Caenorhabditis elegans: one gene and its partners. The protein of the gene in region 3 interacts with the protein of the main gene of each other region in a pairwise test. Each region holds a gene or a part of one and is shown on either strand. Other genes may lie near its edges. The genes, in order: lys-8, arrd-13, C18B2.5 and cdk-14.

Region 1 (3,547 bases), on a different chromosome or scaffold from region 3:
CGAGAAAACAGAAACTTGAAGAAGATTCGTGTTCATCTTCAATTCTTCGAATTATCAAGAAAACCACACCCAGTCTTCCAAATAGATCATATACAATGATTAACCAAAACATGGAACATCCACTACAATGCTGCTACTGCTTGGAAGTGTACGAAAAGCGATACATGACGCAAGTTCCAAAAACCGAGCAACGAATTGCCAGATGGGTGGCAATATTAGGAGAACAATTCCGTATACGTCTTCGAATGAAACCTGCAAATTACATGTGTCGAAAACATTTCCCGCAAGCGGATTTCAGTTCTCGTGGACGACTTCTTAAAACAGCTGTTCCAAATGTTGTTTCCCAGGAGAAAGTACTGGCATTCAAGCTTGAAGGAAACACGTTCGTTGAAGTCAAAGAAGACAATACGAATATCAAAATGGAAAAGGGAACGGACTCGGAAATAGATATAGAAAATTAGAGCCAAGCTCGCATTGTTTTGTTGTTATTTGTTTTTAGATTCTCGTGTTTTGTTTTTTTGTAATAAACTTTATTTTCAGATTTTCATAACATATTGGGGGTACAGTTAGATACAAAATATAAGTAGTCAAATTCCACTTATTTTCGGAACTGATAAAATCTATTGACTTCCTTGAATGAATCCTCCAGCGTAGATCTTTCCATCCTCTTCAACAGCGTCAGCGGCCTTGAGCATAGTTCCAGCAGCATAAACATCTCTGTTGACAGTGAACTGGCAAACTTGCTCAACTTGAGCGAATTGTTTGACAGATGGAGTAGTCCAGCATCCGAACGCGCGGAAATCAGCAAAACTGGCCGGGGTCTCTCCATTGACACCACCTCCAAGGACATTCCAGTACCAGAGGAGAACATCATTTCCAATGCTGCTCCATCCGTTGGTGATCTGGTTCCAGTCGTAGTAGGAAGTGTAGATTCCGACAGTCATTCCATATTGCTGTAAATTATATGAATTTTGATATGAAATTTGTTGCAGAAGTATGAACTAATCGGTTCAGTTTAAAAACGTCTTAACCCAAAGGTCTTATCAGATTAATCAATGTTTTAGACTATAATACGAATCATTCGAGTTTTCGTATTTGAATGTATTTCAATTCCTTGAGCAAAAAATCAAGCTTCTACAGGAAACTTACTCTAGCTCTTGACACAATACTGTTGATAAAGTTGACATTGTTATTAGCATTGCTTGGCCAGTTGGTTGGAGAAGTGACCTGGATCCATACAGATCTGATTGTTATTCCTCTTGCAGTCAATCCTTGGTAGATCTCATCCAATTGTTGGTATCCTTGCTTGCTTGAAGCCGGCTGTGGAGTCATGTAGATCTCTGTTCCGAGTCCAGCGTTATACGCATTCTGAATAGTATTGCAGGAGTTGGTGTCGAAGGATCCTTGTCCAGCTGGGTTGTATGCACTGGAAATTCGATTTAATTGTTATGGAGTTTTAGAAAATGTTCATCAAATTATGAACGTTTGGAATCGAAAAATGAATTAATCAGAAACGAAAGCAGGCAAATGTTTGCCCAAGTTTGGCCAAAAATATTAAAAAGGTTCTGAAGTGACAATACATGACCAGAACTTGTTCTGGTTTAGCTCAAGTTTAATTCAACTGTTGACAATATCTTTACACTTGGGCCAACCTTGGGCAAAAAAAGATTCAACTTTTTTTTATAAATAACAATTTATAGATAGGTAAATCATAAAATCTTTTTCAATTCTTACCGGACAAAGACTGCCGAATAACCAGCTTGTTTGAGGCACTGAAGCTGGCTCAATGAAACTGGAACAGACAAATCAACAGCGAAAGCATATGAAGCCAAATTTGGTGGAACTCGTGGAGCAGCCTCAGCAATGACTTCTCTGAATTTGACTGGAAGAGATGAGTCAACGAATGGAAGGACCTTGACGGAGACTGAAGCCGAATGGCAAAGTACTGCCAGTACTGACAAAAGAGCCACTGATTTGAGAAGCATTCTAGAAAATGTTCAACTTGAATGAGTTAAGAGAAAATTATTAACAAAAAGAACAAAGAATAAGAAACCAAATTTTATAAAAATCAAATACTAAACCGAAATGTTGAAGAAACTGGAGTGGTTATCATGATTTATAGTCTTTATCAAAGAGCTGGCAAGTACCGCTTGTCCATCTGAATTTATAATTTCGGAAAACATTATCATGATATCACACTCTGTTATCAGTAACTGTGTACACACTTTTATGTCATTAATGTCGATGAAAAGAACATCACAAATTATGTGGAATACCGGTAATTGAGCGTGGGCGTTTTGATGATTTTTTCTAGGTTCAAATTCTCGTAAATGACAATTTGTTGTCTTTTATTAAATTGATAGTTCATAAGTGAACACAATTTTTTTCTGACTAACAGATAGTGGTAAGATTTTCAAAGCGATTATGCATATGTTTTACGTTCAACTTTGACCATAACAGCGAAGAAAATTGAAAGTTCTTGAAAACTAGAACTGTAAAATGTATGATATTCTCCTTCAGCACTATACCAATTCTTTTATACAAAAATCCCATTTGCAGCTGAATAAACATTCTCCTTCTTGTTCCATAATTTTTCCCATTTCACTATATTTTTACCGTTTAACATGTCTGTTTAAACTGTACTAACATCCAACGATAGCCCCTGTGAGCAATCCAATTGTTTAAAAATCATTAATCTATTTTTAATGTGAATTCAATTAGTCGAGATTTGTCTTTGGATGGAATAAAAACGAAGATGACGAGTTTAAGAAGTGATGTCATTTCCAGAGGAACAGAGAGTAAAGAATTCGAATTGTTGAAACAGCTGAAATTGTAGATCCATTTCGAGATCAATTTAGTATTTGATAATGAAAAGTGACGTGTCTGTCTATTCATTGAACAAATAACAAAAACGATAAATTTTAGTCCTGAAGCCAATTATTGGTATTTTCTAAAAACTTTGAAGATTTTTGATCCATTATTAATTTCAACTAATTCTTGGCCAAATTGTTGAATTCTTCAGTTAACGTATATTTACTTAACTTTAAAGTGGCTTCAATTATATCCAGGGACCTCTTTAGGCTCTCCTACCTACATTGGGTTTTCAGTATTTTAGTTTCCATCCGTACTTGCCTGCCACATGTCTACCTTCATGCCTGTCGTCGATGTTCTGTATTTCTTTCGTGATCCTACTGCCCGCCTGCCTGTCTATGTGCCTACCGCCTATTTCATTACTTTTAATATTATGCCACATTTTGATGTTCCAGATATCATATAGCTTGTTCTATATCCAATGTTCCTTTGAAAATTGAAAAATCAGAAATTCAATGATATCGTAAAAAAACGAATATATATTCTTTTTTAGCTTCTTCCTGTATTTACTTATGTTTTTTCCTTCTGAATACACACACATTTCTCTCTCACTTTATTATCATAAATCATCATAAAAAAATCATTGGTGACGTCAAAGTTTACATTTTTGGAGGTGCTGTGAAGAATTGTTGAAAGTCGAAGTTCTCGGTGTGATATGAAGACTTTGGAGGTTGTC
Region 2 (5,251 bases), on a different chromosome or scaffold from region 3:
TTACCCATTTTCCAGAAATTTTCAATTCCGGCAATTTACCCATTTTCCAGAAATTTTCAATTCCGGCAATTTGCCGATTCGCCGGAAATTTCAATTCCGGCAATTTGCCGCTTGCCGGATATTGTCAATTCCGGCAGTTTTCCGATTTGCCAGAAATTATCAATTCCGGCAATTTGTTAATTTTCCAGAAATTTTCAATTCCGGCAATTTGTTGATTTTCCAGAAATTTTCAATTCCGGCAATTTGTTAATTTTCCAAAAATTTTCAATTCCGGCAATTTGTTGATTTTCCAGAAATTTTCAATTCCGGCAATTTGTTAATTTTCCAGAAATTTTCAATTCCGGCAATTTGTTGATTTTCCAGAAATTTTCAATTCCGGCAAATTGTCGATATGCCAGAAATTTTCAATTCCGGCAATTTGCCGATTTTCCAGAAATTTTCAATTCCGGCAATTTGCCGATTCGCCGGAAATTTCAATTCCGGCAATTAGTCATTTTTTGCTCAATGTCAAGTATTCGATTGAAGTTTAATAATTTATGCATTAAAATAAAACAAAAACACATCCAACCAGGCAAAAAAACATTTTAAAAGCAATGATAATTTTGAACAATATTCGGCAAAGCAGGGCAGAGTCCGATGAAAATCCTTCATTCTTCGGATTATTCCGGTGGTGGCGCTGTCGGATTATAAACTGGCAAATTGTTGAAAACCGGGTATTTTGGAGCAAATGGTTGCTCATTTTCATCAGTGTTGAGCTCGGTTCCATCTTGTCCAAACATTGATTCTTCGTAGGATAGTGGTGGAGCTGGAAAAATTTGCAATTTTAGAGAATTGTGCTGGACTTCTGAGTAACTCACCACTTGGAATCACTACAGTACCATCATCTTTGCTAGGATATGGGACATTCGGAATAGGATACATTGGCATGCTGGCAGCTGGATATGATGCATCACCAGCTCCCTTCTCCGAGCCATCTGCCATCGGCAAGAATCCATACCCTGGTGGTGGAGCAACAACCCCTCCTCCAATCGGAGTTGGCAGGATCTGTGGAAGATTCGGATCCTGTGGATAGTAGGCTGGTGGAAGGAACTGCCGAATAGGCACTGTTCCAATCAGGATCCCCATTTCACAATCAACATCACTCCCGAATGTTGAGCTGGTCTCCACGTGGAATTGCACAATGTACTCTACAGTAATCACCGGTGAGAACTGATTGATGGTTGGAGTTACAGACGGAAGACGGAGCTCCATCGCAAATTTGTGCTCATTCCTGGGAGCCACTGTCATTTCCTGGCCATGCTTGACGACGGTCTTCGTGTCGTGTTTGGTTTCCTGAAGCTGTCCGGACATTCCAGTCTCATAGCCTCCGCCATAATGGAAGGTGGTACCGTTTCGATATGCAATGAACTTGCACTGCTGAATAATTTTCGCCTTGACTTCGGTGACGGGAACGGAGGAGTGATTTAGAATATGGATGTTCATGGGAACAGTCTCGCCGGGTACGAATCCAGTTTTCGGGATGTTTACACGAAGTTCGAGATATCCTTTTTTGAAGCAGCAACAGCCAAGGTTCTCGCTAGCCTGGTCGTTGATTTGGGTGAGTGCATGGGGGATCACATTGAGGTCGATCAGTGGGGAAACTGAAAATGTTTGAATTTTTGGCTTAGGCTTAGGCTTAGAATGTTAGTCTTAGACTTAGACCGTTAGGCTTAGGCTTAGGCGTAAGCTTCGGCTTAGGCCTAGGCTTATGCTTTGGCTTAGGCTTAGGCTTAGACAGTGGTCTAGATTTAGGCTTAGGCCTATGCTTAGGCTTAGGATCAAGGGTGTTCGTTTTTCGATTTTTTTGAAAATCGAAAAATGTTTAAAAAATTATCGTTTTTCTGATTTTGCGAAAATTTTTTAGATTTTCCAAAATATTAGCACAATATTTTGGCCATTATTCTTATTTTTAGAATTAATTTTGATGTTTTTTTCTCATCAATATAAGCAAAATTAGATTTTAAAAAAAATCATATTTTATGGTTAATTTTCTTAACATTCTTTTCGATTTTTCAATTTTCACTGAAAAAACATCGAAAAATCGAAAAATGCCACTCCTGCTTAGGATTAGTCTTAGACTTAGGCTTATGTTTAGATTGTTAGGTTTAGGCTTAGGCTTCAGCTGCGTAGGCTCAGGCTTAGGTTCAGGCTTAGATTGTCAGGCTTAGGCTTAAAACTGTAGCCCTTACCAGTGATGCATCGCTTCTTTGCCTTATCCAATCTCCATGGCCGATCCACTTCAGCTGTCACCGAGTATCTCAAATATCCATATTTTCCCTCAAAGCTTGGCGGAACGTTGAGAGGAAGATTATAAGAAAATGACCAGGCGTATTCTCCAGCTGCTAACTCGTTCTGACAAATATTCAGATATCTAATAATTGTAATTTTCAACCATTCTTCATTTTGAGCTACCGAAAATTTCAGCAAATCGGAAAATTGCCGGTTTGTTGACTTTGCCGGAAATTTGAAAAAACGGCATATTGCCGACTTAGCCGGAAATTTAAAAAAAAAACAGCAATTTGCAGAAAATTTGGAAAACGGCAATTGCCGAATATGCCGGAAATTTGAAAAAACGGCAATTTGTTGACTTTGCCGGAAATTCGAACAACGACAATTTGCCGACTTTGCCGGAAATTTAAAAAAAAAACAGCAATTTGCCGAAAATTTGGAAAACGGCAATTGCCGAACTTGATGTAAATATGAAAAAACGACAATATGCCGAATTAGCCGGAAACTTGAAAAACGGCAATATGCCATCTTTGCCGGAAATTTGGAAAGCGGCAGATTGTCAATTTGCCGGTTTGCCGATTTTGCCGGTTTGCCTATCTATCCCTGATTCAAAATACCCTACCGATCCATCTTTGCAAGCCCACAGAAGCAATGTATAATCCAGGTAGTTCACATTCGCAGAGTAGTGCACAGATTGCCGGTGGTGGCTCACTTTTCCGTCGGCGTCACTGGAAAATTCGAATTTTATAATTTTTTAGTGTTATTCGAAAATTCGGAAATATTTATTGATTATTCAATTTTCCATTTTAAAAAATTTGAAAAATAGCTTTTTCGTCAAAAAAAAAATGAAATTTTCTACAGAAATCTTAAATTTCTTACACTCTGCGAACACTCTCATAATCCGTCCAACTGGTGTGAGCCAATCCCAAAATTTTGATATTCACCGCCCGAGCCTTGTATTTTTCCTTCGTCGTTGAGAGCACCACTCGGCCGGAAATCGGTTGTCCCGGGAAGAAAACTTCGTTAGGCTGGTCGAATATCACGTGAAGCTCCGTTTCTGGCATGATAACCCTGGAACTTAGACAAAAATCGTTAAAAAATCGTTAAAAAATTCAAAAAACCGGAAGAAAATCGGTGGAGAGAACACTGAAAATTTAAAAAAAAACGAATTTTTGATTTTTAATATTTTATTTTAAAAAAATAGAAAAAAATTATGCATTTTAATTGAAAAGGAAAGGAAAAAAACAATTTAATTTAATTCAAAAAAAAGGAGCGAAATAAATTTTGCAGAAATTGTCATAAAATGTGGTGTTTGCGTACTTGAGAAGGAGTGTGCGCCTTTAAAGAGTACTGTAGTTTCAAAATTTCTTTTTTAATTGATTTTAGTTTTCAATAACTAATAAACACATTTTCGATAAAAAAAATGTATTAATTTATGGAAAACATGAATATAGCAAAAAAAACTCTCAAATATAAAAATAAAACTATGAAAAATCCATAGAAATTTGAAATCGCTGCAGCAACAAAAGTTTGAAATTACAGTACGCTTTAAAGGCGAACGCCTTTTCCTTTCTATCAAGAATTTGTCGTGTTGAGACCGGTGTTTGGTATTTGTGGCTCAAAAATCGCGAAATCTCGTGTCTGGGTAATAGAATAAATTTTAAAAGTTCAAATTAAAAAAAAATTAATAACTGATTCTAATTTCTTAAACGATTTTTTACTAGATTTTTTTTTACAATTTCATGAAAATTACGGAATAGCCGCTCGAAACAAAGCAAACAGACACATGCAGTATTGAAGGTCAAAAAAATCGCACTCCGCAAGAGCCGCAGAGAAATAAAGGGAACAGCGAGGATAAAAGAACGGGGCAAAGACCAACGTTTTTCCATTAAACTTGTGAAAAAGAAACGTTGCTCACAAACAGGAAGAATTGATAAGCTAAACGGAAGAAGACATAGGAGAAGCATTACTGATTAAATAGGAAATAGTGATAAAATTTCTGACATTCGGGAAAGTTAATTTGTAAGGTCAAACAACGGAGAAAAATATGCTAGAAATGGCCGAACCCGGGGTGGGCGGCAAACGATTTTTCCGGCAAATCGGCAAATTGCCGGAATTGAAAAAAAAATCCGGCAAATAGGGGAACCGGCAAACTGCCGATTTGCCGAAATTTTAGGAAAATCGGCAAATTGTCGGAATTGAAATTTCCGGCAAATCGGGAAATTGCCGGAATTGAAAAAAAAAATCCGGCAAATAGGGGAACCGGCAAACTGCCGATTTGCCGAAATTTTAGGAAAATCGGCAAATTGTCGGAATTAATAATTTCCGGCAAATCGGCAAATTGCCGGTATTTGAATTTTCGGCTAAGCGGCACATTGCCGGAATTAAAAATATCCGTCAAATTGGCTAATTGCCATAATTGAAATTTCCGGCAAATCAGGAAATCGGCAAATTGCAAATTTTGAAAAAAAAAAGGAAAAATTGAAAATATCCGGCAAATCGGGGAACCGGCGAATTGACGATTTGCCGAAATTTTAGGAAAATCGGCAACTTGCCAAAAATGAAAAATCCCGGCAAATCGGCACATTGCCGGAATTTAAAATTTGTCGGAAAAACGACAATTTGTCGGAATTGAAATTTCCGGCAAATGGGCAAATTGGCAAAAAAGGTCAAACAATGGAGAAAAATAGCTTTAAAACATGCTAAAAATAAAAAAAATTCATTAATTTCATCGTCCGTTTTTATAGGACCAGTTTTTTTTTAAATAGAATTTCAAAACCCAGCCTATTATATATTTGTTAGGAATAAATGCAAAATCGGGGTGACTAACACACACTACTCAGAAAAATATTTCCTCAGACAAAACTGTTAAGTAAAAAAAAAACTAAAGAACTAAAAAAAAAAAAAAAAAAAACTAAACTCTAGCCTAAATCCCTGAAACCTCAATTCCTATTGTTAATTTCTTGTTAGTTACACTATTTTA
Region 3 (6,506 bases):
CACATTATTATCCGGCCTAAGCTCCAAAAAGTTCGAATGTTATGTTCACAATTTTAATTCACTTTAAAATGAGTATCATCATTTGCTTTGAATTTTAAGGAACTTTTGAAAGTGATAGTATCTATCAATCTAGGCTTTCTCTGTACACTTTGAAAATTAAAATTTCCTGAAATTCGTTTTATACACTAGGTAATCATATTTGTAAAACTTGACACTTGTAATAGCGTTCCTCTTAACTGATATGTCGAAATTTCTAGAATTTCCTATAATATTATTTGTATTTTTGATTTAAATATCAATGAACAATATTATTCTGCCAAAAATTATATTAGTTCCTTAGCGAAAAGAAATGAAGCTGAAAAACAAAAAAAACGATTGATAGGGAATGTTTATCGAGTCGCGTTGGATAAAAATGTTAAGTCGAACAATAAATACAAAATGAGTGGATCGGAGATTAAATTGAAACCATTGAATCAGAAAACACAAATAATAATACTAATAATAATAAATTGTTTTTTAATACAACACTTTATCAGCAAACACTGGAGCTTGTTCGACTTTTTGTCCCTTGTTGTGTCGGAGGATGGCAACTAGTGGGTGGACAGTTTCTTGCAAATCCTGAAGTGAAAGATTTAATAAGGTAGTTTCAGAAGCATAGATAATAAGCTGACCTATCAAAACCGCAAAAATTAATATCATCTCTCACATTCGAACATTATTAATACAATTTTGAAAAGTGAGTTAATATGAGTTAAAAACTTGATATGAAAAAAGCTTAGAACTAAACCGAAAACAAAAATATATAAATATGTTTAAAAAAATTATTTAAATGTTCATAAGCACATTTGAAAAATTTTATGTCATAATTACTATAAAAACCGGAATAGTTTTCATGGAAAGTTTTCTATTTTGAATATTTGAAAGCCTTCCCATACATATGAAATAAATTAAAATTATGCTGAAGTTGGAGTTCAAAATATGTTAAAGTTTCATCAGATACAGTTTTTTCTGCATACGTTTTTCAATATAAGTTTGAATTGAATTTGATCCCGGACGGGTTGAAAAATAATCTTGAGACGCCTCAATTTATACTTATGTTCTTTGCTTTCATGTGATGATTTTTGAAAGATGATTTTTGAAAGCCAAAATTACTTTTCAAATAAAGTGTACTATTTTCAGTTATTTTCAACTAAACCGAGTTAAATACGCAGACTGAGACACCTAGTATTTTCAGTTTTAAATTTCACTTCCCCAACCCATAATATTTACTCTGAAAAGATTCTCCAACGAAGCTGTTCCGTGTGTCCAGTAGAGATTATGTTGAAGTTTGGAAATTCCTGTTGGGAGTGGTGCGAATCCCGAGTTGTTAACTTTGTAGTATTCAAGGAAAGAAATGTTGGCCTGTGTGAGACTTTTGATGGCAATTGGCTGTGGGAGAACTTCAGAGTTGGTGATAATCGGCAGAACGTTTGTTTTCAAATCGTCTCCGAACATTCTCTTAACATCAGCCAACTCATAAATGAACGGCCATCCCAGTTGATTCTCGTCGTGTCTCAAAACAATTGAGATTGCATCAAGACGGAAGGATCCAGATTTGAGAAGCTCCTAAAACGTGAAATTTAGAATTTTTTGCAAAGTTTCAATAGTTCACCTTCTCAAACCACTGCTTGATAAGTCGCGAGACCGTCTTGTTGCCCATTTTGTCCTCAACCCCGGGTGTGTCAACAACAGTGACGTTATAAGGAAGAACAGTGTTGTTGAAAACGTAGGCGGTGAGTCCAGTGGTTGCGTTCACATGCTCGTCCAAAACAAATCTGAAAAAAGAAGAATAATGAACATTATAACATTGAAAATTAAAAAATTAAGTTACCGGAAATCATTCTCCTTCTTAACATCATACAAATAGTTCATCATGCTGGTAATAGCAGAAGTCTTTCCAGAATTAACTGGACCGAACAGGAGCAGAGTCTTGTCATCGTCACTTGGTGGAGCATCTCCTCCAATGATAACCTTGTTGATCTTGTCATTCTTGGAGAAGTTTTCAACAACATAGTATTGTGGAACAACGAGCTCGTATTTTCCGCTGCTTGCAATCTAATAATTTTTAAGAATATTAAAATAATTTTCATATGAAAAATAAATGACTTACATGTTCTCCTGCTGCCTTTTGTTTAGCAGCTAGTGGGCTGACACGAGCTTCCTCCTCTTCGTAGATGCTTGAGTCCACGCTCTCTTAAATATTCGATATACGCAATAGAAAATTTAAATAATATGTTTTACATAGAAGTTCGCACAGAAAACGTTGATTGTACTCAGAAAATTGAACAAACAGAAAATTGAAAACTGCCACACATTTTTGCAGGTGCATGGTTTTTTTTCTTTTAAATAATTTATACACTTTTGTAGAGTGTGTGCAGTACACCTGGCCCGAAAGTTTTAACCATTTTAAAAATGTTCGTGATTTTTTTAAATCTACATTAGGCATGGGATTAGTGTTTCCTGAGCTTAAAAATGCAAATGTAGTTCAAGTTTTGATTATATTATCATTTTTGAAAGAAACGACTGAAAGCGTATTGGATAATAGTTTTGGGTATGGTATACTACACAAGTTCCTCTAGAGCATTGTGATCTTTTCGGAAGTGTTTTGGAAAGCCTCAAACTTTTGTAAAGCTTCTAACATTTTTGAAAGATTTGAAACAATTTTACACTTTCAAAAAAAAAAAAACTATCACGGTTATGTCAGCAAACCGCAACCTCTTCAAAAGCTCTATATCAAATTTTACGAAAACTACAGTAATCCTACCGTACTCCTGCAGTACTCCTACGGTACACTCACTTCGACCTCAGAAAAATGAAGCCTGATTATCTTGTTATTTTGGCAAGTTTGAGTGTTTGTTAAGACCGTGTTTATAAGTCTAATTAAATTCTCTAAAACTTACTTGAAGAATGGCTGGATTTCGGCTGTGGCGGCAAATGATGATGATCGTGCTCATGGCTGTACGAGCGAACGTGGTAGCCTTGTGGCTTCGCACCTTGTCCAATTTTGTTGACCTTCAATGAAGCTTCACGAGCCAAATTAGCATGAGTCATGCGGTCATTGTCAGCGCGTTGACGGTCAACTTGATGAGAGAGCTGAGCTTTTTTCGCGTGAGCATCTTCAACTTGGCGTTGAAGATTTCTCAGCTTCTGGGTTCCACCAGTGTGGAACGAAGCTTGGGTATGGGAAGAGTACACACTTCCTGGTGACTGTAAAAAGACTTTATTAATGATAATGAAGATTTTTTTGATAATTTTCTCACGCTGAGCTCAGAACGTGGGCGTTCATATGCCACTTCGTCATGATGAAGGTTGATTTCTTCACCATGGTAACGGTCATGCTCATCGTGAACATCGAATTGTCCGAAACGGCTTTCAGCAAACGATGCGGAGCTATCGATGGTGTTGGAACGATCACGGTGTGGTTGTGCTAAAATAACTTTTTTAAACATACATTGATTATATGCAACTTTTTTTAAAACTAACTAGTACTATTTCGGATACACTTACGACCCGCTTGAGTATAAAAATAGTCAAACATTTTTGAGCAGACAAGAGTATGACTAGTTATGTTCAATGTGCATAACAAAAGCCTACACCACTGTTCACTCCTCAATAACTGACTCATAGCAGAAATATGACCGTTGCAACTTATTTACATGCTTCTACAATTTTTTTTATTTCCGTCTTGAAAAGTGACACTCACCCGTTCTGATTGGATATTGATGATTCAGATTGAAGTGGTCACTTCTCTCGTCTTCATAATCCGGCTGCGGCTCAGATCCGTAGGCGTCGTAGTGCTGAAAATTACGAACTTACTTTGAATTCAAAACAATCTATTTTCAACACAATGCAAATAACTTGCATAGCTTTGAGAATTGATATTCAAATCGTTGAAAACATTGTTCACGACGAGACTTCCAGTTCGTGCAGCGGCATGCCTCTAAAACGGACCAACTTACCCGAATAGTTCCTAAAAATTGAAATTTACCTTGGCAGATCCGTTTGACACTACGCTTGCGTTTTGTGGGTGATGTTCGCTTGCATACTGATTTCTGTGCGAGCTAACATGAGATGTAACATGTGACGAGCTCACATGGCTTGGAGCTTGAAATGGTGGCTCACTGACGATGGACTCGTGATCCTCACCATACAAAGCTTCGTCGAGATGACGGAGAGCATCGTCATGTCCTCCGTGCAAGTTGACAGTTGGCAGTGTCACAGCGGAAAAGACCTTTAAAACGTTGTTGTGAAAAGTGGTTCAGTTAAAAATATAGTTACCGAGTTCATCAAATCGTCATTCACTGGAGTTGCATCGTAGTAATGCGAAATTGGGGTGACATTGACTGGTGGTGGTGGAGGTGCAGATACTGCATGTGGTGGATGGGACACCACAGTTGATGTCGCATGTGATCGGATTCCGTTTCCAATCTGGAAAAGTTTACAAGTATTATGAGCTCTATACCATAATGAACTCTTACCGGAACCTCTCTCACAGTGGATACACTCGAAGCAGTTGTCTTGCGGCTTCTATTTCCAGACTGAAATTATTTTCAAAATTTATTGGAAATACAAAAATTCTGCGAAATTTTTGGTTACCTCGGAAGATTTCACGTTGGTGGCAGATGTCAACGCTGGAAGGTTGCCAAAGACGTCATCCAAGTTGATGCTGACAGCCGTGCTTCGCGACATGTCTGTACAAAAGACACAATAATAGGAGTTGTTAAATTGTGGGAATGGAAAAATCGAGAACGATAAACAGTGAGAATTAAGAAAAATAGCAAAACAAACTTATGCTACATATAAAATATGATTATTTCTGCAAACTTTGCTCAACTATCATCAAAGACAAACCATTCCTATTGTACTCCCCGTGAAATTATATTTGAAACAGAAAAACCTGGCTGAAAACGGAGATGATTGACCGTGACGAAAGATCGGTAAAAGGCAAATTGCACGGTGTAATGGAGTGCAAAGACAGAAATGGCAGAGCACTGCTTAAAAGTTTCCTGTCAAACCGTGTCGCTTATCAATGCGTGCCACGCATTACACCTTCTCGCGTCAGGCGCCAAAAACGTATTGTATATGCAGCTAACAACCGTAACAATGGAACGAGAGTATTGACGAGTTAAATCAAAATAAAAAATCGGTGGAGAGCGCTGAACTGAACTGAGAGTGAGAGGGGATAAAAACAAAGTTCGCGTGTTGTTTGCCGAGACTAGCAGATGGTTGGGTTTTATTTCTACAAAAATGAGTAGATGCCATCATAATTTTGGAACGGGTCAAATTTTACAATACATCCCAATTGAAGGACATAATAGTTTACAGTTTAATTTGACTAGAAAATGGAACGAAAGTTCTTAAGATACAATCTTTTAGTGAAAAAAAAATCAGTTTCCAAGGCATTCCTCGATTTGAATCCAAAATAGATTTAAGAAAACTTTTTTGTTTTACCTGAAAGTTCAAAAGTTCAAAAAAAAAGAAAAGAAAACATAGCTTCATTATTCTTTCAAAAATTGAAAATGTAAAGAGTGGAATTTCTTCTTTGTGATAAGTTTCTTTCCAGTTATAGAACCCTGAAAAAACATGATAAACCACACGCATATCAATTCTCTGCCAGTTAAGTTTCAGGACTGTTTGCTCGCATGTAAAGGACTGAACACATTATTGCTTTTATTGAGAACAACATTGCATAAGATTGAATACTTTTGAAAAGAGGGGAAAAAAGAGATGCTGAACAAAAAAACGTGAACTGAAATTGGAAGAAAAAGGTGAAACCCATCAAATACATGTCTAGCGGAGGAAGGTTGGAAAAAAATACAAGCGAAAACAATTGAAAAATGAATAAGATTCTCCCGAGTTGATACCTTGCATTTGCGCATTTTTTTTTGATAGAAAATGTGTTTAATAATCTAGCATGAGAACACAATTATTTAAAAAAAAAAAACTCAACAAAAAAAATTAAGACCATGGTTCTTAATTTTTAGGTACCCAATGAGTAAGCACTTTGTTTCAAAAAAACGCAGGATTTTTTTTAGTTTTGAGTTCAATTAAAATAAATTATAATTTCAAAACAAAACGGTTCCATAGGAAAAAAGTTATTTTCACAATTGCTTTCGTTGGTCATAATTTTATTAGAAAATAAATTCAGTTTCAAATTTTTCAAAGGAATACTAACAAGCCGTGGTGATGACGAATAATGTAAAAATGACCTGAAATGAAAAAATGTGCTGAACAAAAACAAATTCAAAAATTTTCATGGCTTTTTATTTTATTTTTCAATTTAACTAAAGTTAGTTGAATTTTGTTTGAAATTTTGAACCGCCATAAAAATTCTTTACACGAAATAGTTACAATTGAGCATATTCTGAGTCTATTCGTTCAAAATACCCAGAACCGTCAGTCCTATTTTTTGAGCAAAACGCAAATGCAAGATAGGCAAAAGATCAGTACAGTAGATTGCATGAAGG
Region 4 (7,512 bases), on a different chromosome or scaffold from region 3:
GAAACCATCGAGACCCGCAGAAAGCAACGCCGCTCCTGCCAACAAAGTGACGATTGCCTGAACAACGTCGAGTACGCAGTCTTCCAAAAAGTCTATGCAGACAAGAGAACCAAACGAGAAGCCGTGTTCCGTCGTAAGAAGTGCTCGAGGTGTGGAGTCTCTGGGCTCACGCCACATCGTGTCAAGAGAAACTTCGGGCAGCCGAATATCAACGTCTCGGAGCAGAATTGCATGGCATTCCCACAGTGTCGGCATAGAGTGAAGAGAAACTTTTTGGGAGAAGACTGTAACATCTGTACACAGGATACTGGTCTGAAGCGGAGGAAGAGAGACTTCGGAACAGCGGTAGGTGTTGGTTTAATGAGCTTCCTTATCTTAAAGTTTTCAGCAATGCTACCCATGCCCAGGAACACGTTCATAACTTGAAGCGACTCCCTCCGATTCTCACATATCACATAAATACCACCTCGTAATAATAATTCAACATGACTAATAAAACAAATAAGTACATACATACATTTATATTAGCTTTTAGCACCCGTAGCAATTTGGAGCAAGAAAATATGTGTAAAGAAATTGGAGATGTAGTAGATTTGGTCGTTATAGTGATCGCAGATCTTTCAGCTCTTTGAGCCGGAATATTGACTGGCTTGGAGCCAGGAGATGAACCTCGCGGGGGAATGAGGCAAAGTAGGGGTGAAGCATTGCACTGGCTGCGGAGACACGGCTTTCCGGGCGGAGCTGTAATTTTGAGGGTTACAAGATAGGTGTAGCTCGATGTCGATTCATTTAGACTAGCATTGCAGCCAGGGCTTAAGCTTTCGGCTTGAGCTTGCACTCAAAGATTGCTGCTCAATATAGCTCGCGAAGACTGATTTGTCAAAGATTAGACTAGTAGGCCTGGACTGACTTAAAGGTGGAGTAGCGCCAGTGAAAATTTTGTCAAAATACATACATAATGATCCGAAAAAAAAACCAAATTTCATAATAAAACAATCCAAAAAATTAGATTTTTCACAATTTCAGGTCAAATTTTTGGCAAACTGCTAAAATTTTGAAAAATGAGCAATTGAGGAAATCTAGAGCAATGTCGCATGTTCCGACCCCTACAATATTTTAATACAAATAATTAAAACACAATTACAGTATAAAAATGTAGGAAAAAAAATTTTTTTTTTGTTGGTCGACTTCCAAAATTATGAGTGGTAAAATTACAGTAAATAAAAAATTTTCAAAATTTTTTTGAAACGTTTTATTATGATATTCGGTCTTTTCGGGACTAAAGGAGTGGTTTTTACAAGTCTACTTACCTGAAGAAGCATCCCCAGAAGTTCCTGACCAGTCTTCAGAATCTTCGTGAACATCGGGTTCACCGCGATGAACGACAACTCCCGATACCTGGGGAACAGTTCAGGGGTGTAGCCTGGTAATGTCTTTACCTGAAACAAACATCTTTATCTCTAGATTTTAGATTCCCTCACCTCCGGCCACTTTTTCTCGTCTGGAGTACCCCGAATGCTGAAGATCATATCCAACTGGTCCTTGGTGCCGGGGTAGTGAGAGTCCTTGGATCCCGGGAACAAAGCGGCGCCCGTGCAAATTTCAGCGAATATGCAACCGACTCCCCTGCAAAGTTAGTAGATATAGTTGGTACCTTTTATAAAATAATATCCTCCTACCACATATCCAGGGAAGTTGAATAGTCGGTACTTCCCATGAGAACATCAGGCGGGCGGTACCATAAAGTGACCACCTCGTGAGAATATGTCCTACTCGGCACAGATTTCGCCCTGGCTAGACCAAAGTCTGCGAGTTTTAAAACACCGTCTTCGTCGAGAAGCAAGTTTTGTGGTTTTAAATCTCTGAAAATCAGTTTTTATCAAGAGTTATGGCCGCAACGGCGCCTCCGCCGACCCCAGCGGTCGCCGCGCCGGCCTCCGCGGAACCCCGAAAATGTCCGCCGCTCCAAACAACCACTTTTTTGCACTACGTTGCGCACACACCAGGCTACTCATTTCACGCCAAGCTGCGGAACACCGAACGTGTCCGCCGCTCCAAATAACTCCCTTTCGCAATACGTTGAGCACACACCAAGCTGCGGAACTCCCAACGTGTCGGCCGCTCCGAACAACCACTTCTACGCACTTCATTGCGCACACACCAGGTTACTCATTTCACGCCAAGCTGCGGAACCCTGAACGTGTCCGCCGCTCCAAACAACTCCCTTTCGCAATACGTTGAGCACACACCAAGCTGCGGAACCCCCAACGTGTCGGCCGCTCCGAACAACCACTTCTACGCACTTCATTGCGCACACACCAGGCTACTCATTTCACGCCAAGCTGCGGAACCCCGAACGTGTCGGCCGCTCCAAATGACCACCTTTCGCGCTTCAACGGCGTCGGCGTGAGGCCCGAATTTCGCGCCTCACTCTGCTGGGAGCCCTATCAACACTAGGGAGCAGTTTGAAAACTAACCTATGAAGAATCTTCTTCCTATGACAAAAATCGAGTCCGCGGAGAAGTTGAAAGAGGAGAAGCTTGATGTCAATGCTATCCAACCCATAGACGTTCTGCTCCAGGTACTTGCTCAAATCCATTTTCATGTACTCGAACACAAAAGTTAGCTGGTGGTGTTGATAGAAGATGTCGTGCAAAGAGACGATATTCGCATGACGGAGGTTTCTGAGAAGCGAGGCTTCACGGATAGCGGTGAATGGGAGACCTTCTTGAAATTGAAGTTTGATCTCTTTCAAGGCGACTATGGATCCGTCAAGTCTGAAAATATAATTTAGTTTGGTAATATCAGCTGTTAAAATATCTAACTTCGATTCGCACTTATACACCGTTGCATAAGATCCTTCCCCCAGCTTGTCAATTCGTTTGTACAGATCATTCACATCCTGCGGTGTCACTTCCTCCTTCGCAGGAAGCGTTATCGTATTTGGATCGTAGTGTGCTGATCGTGGTCGACGTCTTCGAAGATGTGTGAAGTCGGCCACAGTGTTGCTAGATGGTGGTGGTGGCATTGATGGAGAGTTCTTGTTTAGGGGCACGGTTGACATGGTTTCAGATGGATTGTTGGAGCGGGAACGTGATTGGCGGCTGAAATGGTATTACTAGGGTTTGATTCGGAAAATTTTCTTAGAAAAACAGTTTGGCGGGAAGTTTAAATTTTCTGATTAAAAATGTTGGCGTAAGTGGTGTCGAAGTGCCCCATTTTGGTTTGATCTACAAAAAATGCGGGAGTTGAGACAAAGACTTTTCAACTGATTTTGCAGGATTAAGCTGACGTCACATTTTCCTGGGGGAAAAATCCCCGCATTTTTTGTAGATCAAGCCGCAATGAGACAGCCTGACACCACGTGTTGACGGGATATTTAAATTTTCTGAGAAAAACATTTTGGCGGGAAGTTCAAATTTTCTGAGAAAAACATTTTGGCGGGAAATTGAAATTTTCTGACAAAAAAATTTTGGCGGGAAATTGAAATTTTCTGACAAAAAAATTTTGGCGGGAAATTGAAATTTTCTGACCAAAAAATTTTGGCGGGAATTCAAATTTTCTGGGAATTAACTTTGGGGAGAAGTTCAAATTTTCTGTAAAAATTTTGGCGGGAAATTGAAATTTTCTGACAAAAATATTTTGGCGGGAAAATCAAATTTTCTGAGAAAAAAAAATTTTGGCGGGAAATTGAAATTATCTGACAAAAATATTTTGGCGGGAAAATCAAATTTTCTGAGAAAAAAAAATTTTGGCGGGAAATTCAAATTTTTTTTTTTTGAAAAGAAAATTCTACGGACCGGAAACGGCCCAACTACGGCTCAAGAGCCGTCTCGGTCGGTAAATGTGTTTTTTGCTCTAAATAATGCATTTAACGACGTAAAAATGCTTAAATTAGCCAACTGGTATCATAGGTATTAAAAAAATTCGTTTTCTTAAAATCCATTTTTTCCTCTTAATGGCCATTTTTTTACATTCCCCGTAGTTTGCCCGTAATTGGTCCGTCCCGCTTTTCATATCCGTAGTTCACCCGTTAATGGTCCGTTCCCGGTCCAAGATCCGTAAACGGACCGTACCGGCTTTGCCTGTGGTCAGATATAACTAGTAAGTCAAGTGGTGTCAGGCTGCCCCATTATGGTTTGATCTACTAAAAATGCGGGAATTTTTCCCCCAGAAAAACGTGACGTCAGCACACTCTTAACCATGCGATACCAGTTGAAAAGTCTGCGTCTCTTCTCCCGCATTTCTCGGAGATCAAACCAAAATGAGGCACTTTGACACCACGTGGTAAGTTATAACAAACATAACAAGGTGTCGAAACTACTGTAATTATAGTCTTACTTCAATATACAACCTAATAAGAATCTCCACCACTTACCTCAAAAAGCTGAAAATATTCTTATTATGATGTTCTGGTGTGCTTCCACTTCCGGACCCCGATGATGCCCCATTCACATGATTGGAGTGCCATGATTGTGTCATTTCATTTGTTCCGTTTTTCGAGATCGGAGATTTGGTGGAGCCTCCTGAAAAAACAGAAATAAATGTGGAATTATATGGGGGCTCATATGTTTTCGGAACTAACCTTTTTGGGAGAAGACTCTGGAGAGCATTTTTGTGTAAACTGACTAACTTGTGCCACCCCCCGCACCCCATAGAATAAATTGGCTAAAATTTCGAAAAAAAAAACTCGCCACCGCCGTTATTCTTGTATTTCTTCTCCTTATTCCGACTCCGACGCAAAGTGAAAATTGACGAGGACGGCTGGAATAATGTTTTGTGTTTGTGTCTTGTGGAAGAGATGCAGAATCGCCGGAAGTTTAGAGGGGGTGGCGTGACTTACTGACCTTCCGGGTGCTCGGCGAGCCGTCCACGTCCTGAATTCGTTGCGGCGACATTGTGGTGATCTGGAATATGTGGAGCGTAATCGAAATATTTAGGCTTAGGCTTAGGCTTAGACTTAGGCTTAGGCTTAGTCTTCGGCTTAGGCTTAGGCTTAGGCTTAGGCTTAGGCTTAGGCTTAGGTTTAGGCTTAGGCTTAGGCTTAGGCTTGGGACTGGGCTTAGGCTTGAGCTTTGGCCTAAGCTTAGGCTTAGGCTTACGCTCAGGCGTAGGATTAGGCTCTGGCTTTGGCTTTGGCTTAGGCTTAGACTTAGGCCTAGGTTCACGCTTAGGCCTAGGCTTACAAGAAATATCCTCATTTACCGACCGACTGTGGCCTAGGATTTCAAAAAATGACCCTTTTTGAAAAATCGAAAAATCGAAATATCGACGAATTTTCGTTTTTGAGGCGTTTTTTTAATTTCAATTTTTATAATTTTTTTCGGTTTTTCGATTTTTCTTGAAAATACCAAACTCACCCTATGCAAGTTCTCCGACGACTTCGAACTCCTAACAGCGGTGAGCTGTGGATGATGTATCATAGACAGTGAGCACGATGCTCTCATAGGCCTCTCGGCCTCCTCCAGCCCAAACCATACTCCAATATGCGAGGTTATTTTTCCCCACATTTGATTGAAAGATGGTATCTGCAAGTGAAATTTTTGGGTGGGGAAAAAGAACGTGAACGAATAATTTGGAGCAGCGGGGGGGGGGGTGGAAAAATGAAGAGCTGCTCGGAGGAGGGAGCCGTACTACGAAATGAGAAGAGGAGAAGCCGGTGTGACGGCGGGGCGTTAATGGGTTACTAAAGCCTCCACATTCCCATTTTCAGCCGTTTCGAAACAAAGAAAATAGAAGAAAAAAAAGACAGATGAAAAATGACTTGGGTGGGTTCGGTGAAAAACAGGAAGCAGGAAGAGTGAGGAAATTGGATGGTGGAAGAGTTTTGGCATTTCTAGGTTACCGGGAATCTTTAGAGACACCTGGGCTGTCCCATTACAGTTTGATCTACAAAAAATGCGGGAATTTTTCGCCCAAAAAATTTTCAACAAATTTAGATATTTTTTACATTTTTTCCCCAATTTTTTCAGCCATATTTCAGCCATGACTGTCCTTTTTTTCGGGCAAAAAAAAATTTTCTCTGAAAATGTTCGAAACTACTAAATTATGCAAGAAGACAATTTTTAAGGTTCGGAGATCAATTTTGAGTCCTCTAGCTTCAAAATTATCCATTTTAGAAGAGTTTTAAAATTGTAATTTTTTACAAAAATTGCTCAATTTTGCCACTTTTTAATAGTTTTCTAAACCTAGATTTTCTGAATTCTGCATATATGAATTACCCGTTTTCAACAAATTTAGACAATTTTTTTCATTGTTTCCAAAATTTTTTTCAGCCATTTTTCAGCCATTACTGTCCTTTTTTTGGGCAAAAAAAATAATTTTTTGAAATTACATTACACACCTTCCATGTTTTCTTCGTAGATTTAAGGTCCATGTCCACTGCTTGGTGGAAGAGTTTTCCGAGTTTTTAGGTCACCGGAGAATTTGAGTTGGAAGAGTTTTCGCATTACTCCCCAACTGTGATAGAACTTCAAAAATGAATATGCAGGGACATCACTCAAATTTGACATGTCAGTTTAAAGGAACACGCTGATTTTCCGAGTGGGTCTCGCCACGATCCAGGTGCTAAATTTTCACAGTTTTTAGTATGTACCTAGTGGCTTATTTCTAAACAACACGCGCATAACATCGGAGTGTCGTTGCATAGGCCACTCTAAAACATAAACAAATGTGTGAAGAAAAATTAAACACAACTAGCACGGATTTCTGACGTCCCTCAGAAGTTGAAATGGAAGAGTTTTTGCCGAACTAGGCCAGGCCATATTCGGGGTAGATTTACGGCGCGTCGCGGCTCGATTTTAGTTGTAAAACTAAATGTATTTGTCCGTGTGGAGTACACGACTTTCCCAAGCGTTGTCCGGCAGGCGATTGTCAATGGAGCGCGAAAATTCAATGAGGAAGGCCAGAACCCCGTGGGATTTTGAAATTTTTTTCAGATATGACAAAAAATGACAATGCCAAATTTAAAATGCATTAATAGCGGACAGAGGAGAGAATAAGTAGGGAAAAAAGAAGAAAAAAAAAGACGGGCGGCGCTTCTCTCATAAAATAGTAATTGGTCATTCTAAGTGTGCCTATTGTTCCTTATTTTTCGCTTTTTCTTGGCTCATTTTAGCTCAAAAACCAAATGTCGAAGAGTTTCTAGAGAACTAGGCCACGAGAGGGAAAAACTAGGTCACTGGAATTTCTACGCTAAAAATTTGGCCCAGCATATTTACCTACGTGGCCGTAAAAGAGAAAGTTCGGCCACTAACTTTTTCGGGCTATCAAAAAAGGTTTACCAAAACTTTATAAAAAAGAAACCACTTGTGGAAAATGGCCGTGCATACTAAAGTTCGGCCACAAACTTTTTTAAAACTTTTTTGCTCAAATTGAAGTACAGGACCACTTCGATGGGCGGTTTTCACTACTTGGCCGTGTAAGAGAAAATTCGGCCACCAACTTTTATTCAAGGCCACACCTCCAAATCCTTCAAAGCTTCAAAAATTTTCTACGTGGCCGTGTACGAAA

What was found.
Region 1: the proteins of C18B2.5 (region 3) and lys-8 interact in a two-hybrid assay, tested with the Caenorhabditis elegans proteins (one large-scale study listed by BioGRID).
Region 2: the proteins of C18B2.5 (region 3) and arrd-13 interact in a two-hybrid assay, tested with the Caenorhabditis elegans proteins (one large-scale study listed by BioGRID).
Region 4: the proteins of C18B2.5 (region 3) and cdk-14 interact in a two-hybrid assay, tested with the Caenorhabditis elegans proteins (one large-scale study listed by BioGRID).

Annotation. Positions count from the first base shown.
Region 1 is NC_003280.10:5,584,617-5,588,163, reverse strand, and holds lys-8 (LYSozyme), read right to left. Parts: upstream 1,987-3,547; 5' UTR 1,986-1,986; coding exon 1,735-1,985; intron 1,427-1,734; coding exon 1,150-1,426; intron 954-1,149; coding exon 621-953; 3' UTR 513-620; downstream 1-512. Other genes in the region: C17G10.13 (THAP-type domain-containing protein), read left to right, coding at 1-461.
Region 2 is NC_003280.10:13,756,502-13,761,752, reverse strand, and holds arrd-13 (Arrestin C-terminal-like domain-containing protein), read right to left. Parts: upstream 3,346-5,251; 5' UTR 3,333-3,345; coding exon 3,148-3,332; intron 2,997-3,147; coding exon 2,891-2,996; intron 2,392-2,890; coding exon 2,229-2,391; intron 1,641-2,228; coding exon 858-1,640; intron 806-857; coding exon 660-805; 3' UTR 518-659; downstream 1-517.
Region 3 is NC_003284.9:3,606,363-3,612,868, forward strand, and holds C18B2.5 (G domain-containing protein), read right to left. Parts: upstream 4,731-6,506; 5' UTR 4,729-4,730; coding exon 4,636-4,728; intron 4,578-4,635; coding exon 4,518-4,577; intron 4,468-4,517; coding exon 4,318-4,467; intron 4,271-4,317; coding exon 4,028-4,270; intron 3,980-4,027; coding exon 3,902-3,979; intron 3,837-3,901; coding exon 3,743-3,836; intron 3,467-3,742; coding exon 3,300-3,466; intron 3,247-3,299; coding exon 2,940-3,246; intron 2,233-2,939; coding exon 2,150-2,232; intron 2,095-2,149; coding exon 1,871-2,094; intron 1,815-1,870; coding exon 1,652-1,814; intron 1,606-1,651; coding exon 1,270-1,605; intron 619-1,269; coding exon 517-618; downstream 1-516.
Region 4 is NC_003279.8:841,236-848,747, forward strand, and holds cdk-14 (Protein kinase domain-containing protein), read right to left. Parts: upstream 5,529-7,512; 5' UTR 5,511-5,528; coding exon 5,361-5,510; intron 5,257-5,360; exon of another isoform or gene 4,936-5,256; intron 4,908-4,935; coding exon 4,848-4,907; intron 4,765-4,847; coding exon 4,695-4,764; exon of another isoform or gene 4,614-4,694; coding exon of another isoform or gene 4,586-4,613; intron 4,527-4,585; coding exon 4,379-4,526; intron 3,105-4,378; coding exon 2,826-3,104; intron 2,778-2,825; coding exon 2,478-2,777; intron 1,863-2,477; coding exon 1,680-1,862; intron 1,627-1,679; coding exon 1,482-1,626; intron 1,440-1,481; coding exon 1,311-1,439; intron 742-1,310; coding exon 601-741; 3' UTR 507-600; downstream 1-506. Other genes in the region: ZC123.1 (Sperm mitochondrial-associated cysteine-rich protein-like), read left to right, coding at 1-345, 389-421.